Linked DNA regions of Saccharomyces cerevisiae S288C. Changing the gene in region 2 together with the main gene of any one other region gives a genetic interaction. Each region holds a gene or a part of one and is shown on either strand. Other genes may lie near its edges.

Evidence for each region. Genes that interact genetically often act in the same process or in processes that back each other up.
Region 1: mutations in PFF1 (region 2) and YPR172W together harm fitness more than expected from each alone (negative genetic interaction), as found in Saccharomyces cerevisiae (one large-scale study listed by BioGRID).

The regions. Positions count from the first base shown.
Region 1 is NC_001148.4:883,715-886,898, reverse strand, and holds YPR172W (pyridoxal 5'-phosphate synthase), read right to left. Parts: upstream 1,104-3,184; coding exon 501-1,103; downstream 1-500. Other genes in the region: AAA family ATPase VPS4, read left to right, coding at 1-375; BSP1 (Bsp1p), read right to left, coding at 1,341-3,071.
Region 2 is NC_001134.8:383,561-390,667, reverse strand, and holds PFF1 (Pff1p), read right to left. Parts: upstream 4,383-7,107; coding exon 1,452-4,382; downstream 1-1,451. Other genes in the region: ECM8 (Ecm8p), read right to left, coding at 1-441; DNA-dependent ATPase RDH54, read right to left, coding at 4,680-7,107. UniProt on the Saccharomyces cerevisiae protein: May be involved in vacuolar sorting and osmoregulation.

The DNA.
Region 1 (3,184 bases), on a different chromosome or scaffold from region 2:
GACACTCCATGCGTATTGACCAAGGAAGATTATAGAACTTTAGGTGCAATGACTGAAGGTTATTCCGGGAGTGATATTGCTGTAGTGGTGAAAGATGCGCTAATGCAACCGATAAGAAAAATTCAAAGCGCGACACATTTCAAAGATGTCTCTACGGAGGACGACGAAACAAGAAAACTAACACCATGCTCTCCAGGTGATGATGGCGCCATCGAGATGAGTTGGACGGATATTGAAGCTGATGAATTAAAAGAACCAGATCTCACCATAAAGGATTTCTTAAAGGCTATCAAATCGACGAGACCTACCGTGAATGAGGATGACTTGCTGAAGCAAGAACAGTTCACTAGAGATTTTGGTCAAGAAGGTAACTAGTCAATTGATTAACGTGCTAATGTAGATTTCTTGTGTACATGAAAATAAAAAATAAAAAAAAAAAAAAAACAGAATAATTAAATACAGAATCGTATGCAAAATAGATAAAGAAAAGCAGAGGACAGTTAACTCTTCCCTTTACTTAGAAACATTGTTCTGTTCTCATTATTGGATACCCTAGCATTATCAATTCTAACTTTAACAACGGCGGTGTTCTTTTCAAATATAAAAGCTTTCGCATCAGGATTAGCCTTTAGTATTAAATCTTTATAGTACTTGGATTCTTCACTTTCAGGATTGACAATTTCGGTTTCGCCACCAATAGATGCGCTCATTTGGTTCAATTCGGCTTGATTTAACTCCTGTAACAAATTTAAAAGCTCGCTTTGACGTTGCTCTTCATGAGGAATAGAAGTCGGCGTCGGAGTCCCAGAGATGCTTTCCTTGCCCACTGACAAATTATTCGCGATGATCCAATCGTGAAACAACAGGGCGACCTTAGGGTTCTCCTTGATGTTGTAAAACTTTTGTGTGTCCTGAGGAGAAACAAATATAATGTAGTCATTCTTATTATCTGTTTGACCGAACAGTTTTTCACCTGGCACATAGATATAGTTCATCAATGCCACTGAAGGGATGCAGTCTTTAGAACAGGTGGCCACGTGAACATATTTGGAGTTTTTGATCAGGTTCAGTAGATGCGCTGGTAATGTACTAGTCCAAGCCATAATTGAGATGTTTCAGGGTTTGAATAGCCTGTAATTTTACTGCTATTTTCTAATAAGGGAGGAAAAGTGTAGCAAAAAGATCGATGATTTATATTCCTTCAGGTTCATAAGGGGAGCAAATGTCAAAGCGCAAACGTGGGAAGTGACGATAATACATGTATCCCATTAAATTATCATATTATTGTTACATCATATGTACGTACATACATGTGTAAAATACGGAGGTCTACTCTGTAGTTACACGCGTGTTGGAAGTTTTCTTCTGGGACCACGAGTCCTATTTTTATTCGGGTGAACTAATGGTTTAGTTTCCTTCACTGTTTCATCTCTAGAAGTAGTATACTTGTCAGAAGTTGCAATATTAGTGTTAACACCGCTAAGTTCTGGTAGAGTATTAGATGCTCTTAAGTTTCTAGAGGCAATTATTGCGTCTAATTTTGCGTTTATGCTCAGTTCGTTTGAGGACTCTAAAACAGGCTCGGTTTTAGATTTTTTCATCAATTCGACTTTTCGCAATGCCTCTGGCAAAGAAATTTTACGTTGTGGCGCCGTTGGTGGCCGTTTCTTCAGGTTATTCCGCAATGATAGAGCTTCAATTTCGTCATTTAACTTGTTAATATCATCACCATTTTTGAGTGTAGTATTTTTCGAATTATTTGTTAGAAATGATTTTTTCTGAGGGATTGCAGGCTTCTGCTGTTTGGTTTTCTTCAGATTTTGTATACCTTTTATTGCTTCTGGAATACTGTCCTCCTCTTCTTTTTTAATGTTACGGTTGCTGGATCGTAACTTGGGCAAATCGATTGAGTTTTCGAAGTTCTGCTTTGTTGGAGAAGTTTCTACGGGACGTAGCTCAGGTAATACTATATTCAACTCCACTTTCTTTGGCGGTATGCTTGGTTTGGTCTTATGGGCGGCCAAATTTGCATTCCGTAGCTTTTGAGGTTTTTCAGGCAAAGAAGGCTTGGAAGTTGTCGTGAGATTCGAGTTTAGCATAGACTTGATAAAACTTTCAGATCTTGGAATTCTTTTCGCAGGTGGAGAAGGAGGGGTTGGTTTAGGTTTATTTTTCATTGTAGGAGATAAGGTGGTTGGTTTTAGTTGTATGGAATCCAAGTAATCGATATGAGAACTTTTTACAGTTGTTTTGGGAGTTTCCATTTCCGAATTATAACTCTTCGCCTTTGTCAATTTGTTATCTTCCAAAGAACTTAAAAAGCTCGCCGGTTTTGTAGAGCGTGAGACAGGTGGAGCAGGCTTAACGCGCTCAGGTACCACAGCATCCGGTTTTATTGACCTTGATGACGGACTTTCTGTAACTTCTGCTTTGTTAGGCCTTGTTGGAAGAAGCGGTTTCTCTTCATTCCCATCTGTGATTTTGATATGATCACGCCTTGTGGGCAAAGGCGGTGGTGATGAAGAAGAGGAGGAGGAGGGTATATCGGCTCTTCCTGGTAATTCAAAATCATATTGGATGGTGATTATTTCCTTCTCTCTCGGTCTGGGTCGACCCCGACTGGGCATACGAGGACCTTTTTCAAAGGAAGGCAAATTTTTGTCAGCATTGGAATCATTATATGTTTGAGAGGCTTTCAATTTCTGCAATAATAAATAATCTTCTTCAGAAATTAAAAATTTTTTTTCTTTTTGAGAGGCACTTCCCTCCAAATCCGGCCTTGGCGTTATTCGTTCGAGATTCAGCTCACTTAATGAGTAATGAGTCTTCTTTGGAGAAAACGTCATTTCATAATTGTACGCAGATCGGTAGGCCAAATTGTCGCAACCTTCCACATTTTTCCCTGTCATCATATCAGCCCTTCTGTATTCCCCAGAGTTGTGACTTCTAACTGGTGAAAGCGCTTCCCCCGCTGGTTTTGAACTAGGAATATTACTGTATCTCTTAGAGTTCAAATCCTCCACTTTCGATAGAAAGTTCACCAATTCAGGGTCACGCTCATATTTTGTCATACTTCCGAAACTTCGAAAAGCTAGGAAAAGCTGGTTACTGTGACTTTTATTGATTAGAATTCATATATAAATGTATATATTTATACTATATATTCTTTCATAATATTTCACTC
Region 2 (7,107 bases):
TCTACTAGTATTGTATAGTGCCTGTACACATGCTGAGGGGGGACAATTTTGATTTCTTTTTATTTTATAACCAAATTCGGAGTATCTGTCTTTCATCCAGCCTCGGATACTGTGATGTTGGAAACACCTTGGAAGAAAAATCAGTTGCTTAGAAATACTTTTAAACACATGCTTACAATCAGTGTTGGCTTTACCAAAGTCAAAATTTTCGCTATCGTTGAATATTTTCCTTTGTGGGAATATTTTGTTCTTGATGGTTTTTCTTTTGAGTGATCCACTATTATTGGATACATTCGTGGTGTCCGTTAAAACCCTCGAAAGAGTGGATGTTGAAGAGTCAGGTCTTTTAGACTGTGTAAATTCAGCATTACTGTCTATCCAAAAATCCACACCATTTGTTTCTTCAATACGTTGTGCGGGAAAAAAGTAGCCATAGTCCATCTTAAGGCTTTTAAATAGCTAATATTAAATACTGTTAGGATAGCAAGAGTGGGTGATTTATTCGTTAGAAATATACGAGTCAATAAAGTCTAGTACCGAATTAATGTATTAGCGAACAAATTCTTGTGGTTTTTTATGAAATCATCACTACTTCAATGTGTTAAGGTGTATTTTCGAAACATTTTTCGGCGCTGCCAGTAAGACGTACGACCCTTTTTTTAGTGTCAGTAACTATAAAATTATGACGTCCGAGAATAGCGTAGAAATTAAAAAGGGTAACAATGATATCTAGCAGCTTTCAAAAAAGGGAAGGGCGGCACAGAACCTTACATTGGACAATGCTTTGCCTTCACTTATACGATATTTTGCATTTTTTTGCTATCAAGATTTGGTTAATACTGTATCGTGTAAATTGAGATCCCACCTCCAAAACTTGCTTTTGGACAAAGCGATATATTAAAATAACTTAAATATCCGCTTAACCAAGCTCTTGATCCAAACGATATCCGGCTATAGTCAATCACAATCCCTGAAGAACCATTTCCAAGACCATTATCTTTATACTTAATAAATATATAGATTTACAGGTTATTTGTATATCGCTAGCATTATTGCGTGCTATTTTCTAATAGTTACTGGAGGGTTATATAATTTAGGACTTTATAAAAACGAGCATTGTATGCACTTGCAGCAGTGTAGAACTTATCTGACGAAACATGTTTCTTACTTTGTTAACTGATATCATTAGTGATTTTCAATACCGTCTGAATATCCACTATAGCTGTCTTTAGCGCTACGAAGAGAGCACCGTAGAATGGTTCCAGACGGATTCTTGGCCAGTAAAGTACATTCATAAGTTAAACTCAATAGTTTTTCCTTTTGTTACGAAAAATTTCTCAAAATATTTTTTATTATTTTGTTCTTCTTGTGGGAAGAAGCGAAGCCTTTGGACAACTCCCCCAGTAGGCGAATTTGAGTTTATAAAAATTTACATTTAAAACTAATTAGAATTATAAAATTATAGCATCCTTGACAATAACTAATCCTTTCTGTTCGTTGGTAAAGGAAAAACTTAGAGGTGCGTAATTTATCAATTCATCAAATGCTGGAATTTTCCTAACAGCGGTACCATTTACAACCGATTCCGAATCATATTCTCCCCAATAACAGCTAATAGAAACAGACAGTTCGTCTTTTGTCCCCAACTTGTCATCCTCTACATTTCCATCCGTCAAAAGTTTTGGAAACCACTGGACTCCGATATGGTAAGTTTCCTGATCGAAATCAAGTTTATGCAATTGCAGTTCGTTTATGCCAGAAGCAGACTTGATCGTCTTCGTGATATTAGCTTTCTGTGGGGCCGAATTTTTCTTTTGATATACCGTGATTTCTCTGACAGGTGACTTCGCCTGATGTCTACTTTCAAAAGTTAAAGTGCAAGCCCTGTTCTCCTTCACCTCCAAAAGTAACTCTGCAACTATTGGTTCGTAAGGAGATCTCTCTGTTGAGTTTCGGTTATTATGTAAAACATGAACCTTGACCATACTGCTGATGTTCGTATTTCCATTCGTGCTCAATAAATTAGGTTGCATTCCATCATACATACAAAGTTCCATTCCATTGGTTACGGAAGTACAGTTAATATGTGTAGAGCTATATTTTATACTTGGTAAATCTTGCAGCATAGGTTTTAAAAAATTTCCTTCTCTTCCAAGGACATGTACACTGGCAGCGTTCCCTTGAGACAAATCAATATTTTGAGAAAACCTTACTTTTAATGGGTTACTATTGGTAAAGGGGTGCACTAGGAGCGTTTTGGATGCGGAAATCAAGAAAAGCAGTGCAGTTAAAGAAATTGTGATATAGTTGACCTTATAGAAAAAAGGTAAAATTGGTAGCGCGATCAAAATACTGCCCACCATTCCGAACCTGAGTACATCAAATGTAGCCTTACTTCCTTCCTGGACAGTATGGTTTAGTGCGTCCATGATAACATCCACACTGTTAAACAAAATAAATGATGGTATTGGTACAATTAGCAAAAATTGAATGATCCAGGCATAATCGGTATACTCAAGTTTTAGAGAATTTTCTCTAGTACTCAATCCTTCCTCCATGCTATTAGACCCCTTCAGTAATGGTACCCTTTCATCATGTTGTTGTGACGATGAATCCATACCATGATCCTCGTCAACATTATGTGATGGGCCAGCTGAAGTAGTTGACACATTATCATCTTGGATACTTGCTTGATCGTCTTGTGACGATGTAAGTTGATCTTGGGGTTGTTCCAAGTTTTCCTGACCGTCTCGTTCCATATCTATTTGAGAATGGGAGCTGTAATTGGAGTGATGGTCCCTACATTCTCTACCAAGCCTCTTCCTTGTTCTCATTCCCAACGCTAGTGCAAGTAGTCTCAATATAGCAGCTATTGTGCTCAGAAGAAAGAAAATCGAGAGAGGATAAAGCCCGGTATACCTATAGTCGGAACTATACAATAACTTCGACGTAAAAAGTAAAATGGTCCATAAAATAATGAACAATTCGATAATTGATAGGCTTTTCATATCGGCACAGGGGAAAAAAAAATTGGAGCAATTAATCAGAACATAACTGGTAAAAATTACTTGAGTGAAAAAAGCCGAGATAGGCCAAAAGTAGTTCCTTGAGAACGTCAAAGGATTGGAACGAATTATGTCGTTAGAGAAAAGCTTTTGGACAATAATACCAGCGGCTAATGAAAGAGGAAAGCGTGTCCACGATAGCCATGAATAAGATTTCCAAGTCATTCTATCACGAGAAATTAAATACAAGCCAATGGCCACAACGGGTGAAACTAATAGAAATATGCAGTTCCAATAGAAAAGCGTTTTAGCGCTTATAACGAAAAACTTCAAACCGATAAAATCAAAATAACAAGCCGGCGTTTGGTCAGCTGTATCCAATGAATTAGAAGCCACATATGCACTTAATTGTAAGGAAGTATGTAGCATATGCCATAAAGATGCCTTGGAGGTATATTGTATTGAATCCTTTATGGTATGATAAAGGTTTCTCGGTTTGTAGAATGCGACATCCCAGCCTCTCATGCCATTTTCTTCGTAAATCTTGTAGTCTGTCTCACTCCTGACATATCTGCTATAAAAACCTTGCTGGTAGATAGAGTTACCAAATGGATTTTCCTTAACAGACTGTTGGTATATTCTTGCTGTTGAAGTATCTGAAGTTCGGAACAGTACAGCTTTACCACCAGCACCAGTTCCCTCTAAATTTATCACATACTTGGTTAAATTAGACCATGAGTGATCAAAATAAGTTGATGCACCTAGTAGGCCAAACTCTTCATTATTATTAAAGTTGAAAATTAAAGTCCTGTTCGGTCTGTGCTTTATATGGTACTTGAGGTTCGCTAGTAAAGACACTACACCCATGCCGTCATCGGTAGCTCCATATCCTGTGGGTACAGAGTCGAAATGAGCTGAAAGAAGTAACCCTTCTTCCTCAGGATTTTTACCCTCAAGCTTAACTAATATATTAGAAGATTCAAAATATGTCACTCTCGAAAACCTAGATGACTCATTGAAAGGATCTTGTTGCTGAAATAATATGGATCTCTCGCTTTCTTTGTCATCTGAAACACTTGCAAACGAAGAATTCCCTGTAATTTCAAGAACCCTTTTGAGCAAGTAATCATGTACTTTATCATTTTCTTTGGACGTGTACGGATGAAAAGAGGCCGTGATAATCTGTAAGTCCCCCCATGCTGTTTCTAATAAGTCATTGAATTCAGGGTGCTCATCCTCTTTTGGTAGATTGAGTTTATAACGTTCATGATCAAAGATATAGAGTAACGTAATAATCGAATAGGTGATTAATAGAAGCAAACTCAAATTTGTTTTCCGGTACTTTAGAACTGATCTGAATACACTTTTTAATTTCATGCCGTGATTCTTTAACTTTACCTATCAATTTATTTCCTTGTAGATAATTTTTCACATTATTTTTTTTTTTTTTTTTTTGGGACTAAAGGCTATTCAAATCTTTCAGATGTTTGATTTGCGCCCGCAGCGTATCGTTATCAAATTAGTGAAAACGTGGATATCAACTTGAATCAGCAATAGGCCCTACTTAATATGTGACTTGAACCTGAATGAGTCGTGCAAGAATAAACCTATTAAATACAATCAGTGATTAAATAATAGCTATTTTATTTAGTATATAAGTGTCCATATTTGGCGTCATTGTTCTCTGAGACATATCTCGCCGGGCTTTACAAACGCAAAGGTAATACTATCTTTCAATTCGGTGAACGAATCTGTGATAACCTCATCAAATAATTCATCTTGTCTTGCTGGATCGATATGCTTATAATGAACGAGACATTGCCTAATGTATTGTGACTTTTTGGCATCATCGTTGGTGGCTGCTTCATTCATTTTCTTTTGTAAATCCAGCGCACTTGTCCATGTCGTAGTGCTACGCTTTCTCAGCTCTACGGTGTTCTGCTGTTGATTTGTTTCAGGATATTCAATTTCCTCACCTAAACCATCGCAAGAACAAATTAAGTCATGTGTGTTACTCTTGGTATCTGTATGGACAGAAAACAGGTCCTTCAAGTCCTCTTTATTGAAAAGATCATCATTAGAAGATTCTTTATTTCTCATCTCCGAGTCACCTAGAAATTTTTGGCTCAAACTGTTCTTCATTAATTGCCTTTGCAATATTTTCTCATCGATACACCCAGTTGTGACAAGTCTATATATGAAGCACGGCTTTTTTTGACCATCTCTATGAATTCGTGACATCGCTTGCAAATCTACTGAAGGATTCCAATCATTATCAAATAAAATAAGTCGCGAAGCACCGACTAGATTCAATCCTACACCTCCCGATTTTGCACTCAACAAGAATCCAAATATGGCTGGATTCCGATTGAAAGATGTGACGATAGAGTCCCTTTGTTTAGCAGGTATGGAACCGTCGAGTCTGCAATGTGACATCCCAGCCATATTCATCAAATTTTCAATTATATCCAATGTTTGAGTGTAGTTAGACACTACGACGACCTTCTCCTTGGTACCCTTCCTAATACCTTCTAGTAATGTCATTAATACCTTTAACTTACCAGAGTTCAAAGAACGACTATAGCTGTCCTGAGATTGGGTATCCTTTATATGTGATTTGTAATAGGGATCTGAGCCAACCAATCCAGGAGAGTTACAAACCTTTTTCAGTAATGTTATTAGTCCTAGCGAAGAACTGAACGTCAATTGTCCAAAATCTAAACGTGCGCCCTGCAAAATATCTTTGAATGCCAATATCTGTTGGCTGTATGGTTTACAGAATAAAATTATATCCGTCTTTGGAGGAAGGTACTTTTCTAAAATCGCATTTGTTCGTCTCAAAATAAATCTTTTCGTAATTTCTATCATCTCTTTTGACCTTTCTTCCCCCTTTTCCAACAATTCTTCGTTGTATCTGTTTGCAGTGTCTCTGGCTCTAGTTATAGGGATAATGAATCTTCTTTTGAAAGAAGCGAAGCTTCCAAGGATTCCTGGGTTTATGAAATCTATAATAGTGAAAAACTCATTAAGATCATTTTGTATAGGAGTTCCCGTAAGCAAAAGCTTCCTTCTTATGTCTAAACTCTTCAGCGTATTTAAAATTTTAGAAGCCCCGTTTTTTAGTCGATGGCCTTCGTCACACACCAGCATGTCAATCAAATGTTTATTTTTCTCTAATTCTTCAGAAACACTCAAGAGTTTTTCGTAGCCAATAATCAAGACTTGATAAGTTCGTTGCACTTTTAAAAAATTTCTGACAGCCATTTTATCCATATCAGGAGAATTCCTTGAGCTTAATGTCAAAACACCTATTCTTGACAAATTTAACCATTTTCCAAATTCTCTTTTCCAATTTCCTATTAAAGTAACGGGACAAACGACTAAAATCTTCTTACAAAGTCCAGTTAATGGTATGCCTGATTGCGAACATGAAACTTTTGATGCAAAAGGAGTTTGCCTAATTAATGTCCAAATCAAAGTTATACTCATTAGTGTTTTACCTAAACCCATATCATCAGCCAAAAGGCATCCACTAATATCTGAGTCATTTTCTAACACTAAACTTTTAGTAGTACAATCGATATCCGGATTTTCAATAGTTGGTCTTGCCAAGCCCATTAAGCAATCATACATGAACTTCACCCCTTCCCTCTGATGAGGGCGCAAGAATTTGCCCAGTAATGGATCAACAATTACGTCAACTTCAGCGGCTGCATTTTTGTTCATTACTATAGGATTATCGATTTTGTTGACATCAAATACTGGATAATATTTTTTGGCTTTGGAATTTTGACTGGTTTTAGGTACTGTGGTCATGTGTTCATTTGTTTGCTTTGTTACTGATTTGAATCTTTTCACAGTGTTTAGTGAAAACAGCTGAGACAGAGGCATTTGGTATTTGCCACCGTCATTCTTCGTAGAAGGCACTGTTTCTGTTGTGCTTGTGGTCGGTGGGCTGGGATTTCCCATGTTTTGTGATAAGGCTTCTTTGGCGCTACGTATTTCTGCATTTTCCTTCAATTCGTAATCCAATTGTACTTCATTGGAGCCTGCTTTGAAAAGAGTTTCGAAGAGAGAATCTGAATCACTTGGTAGCATACTT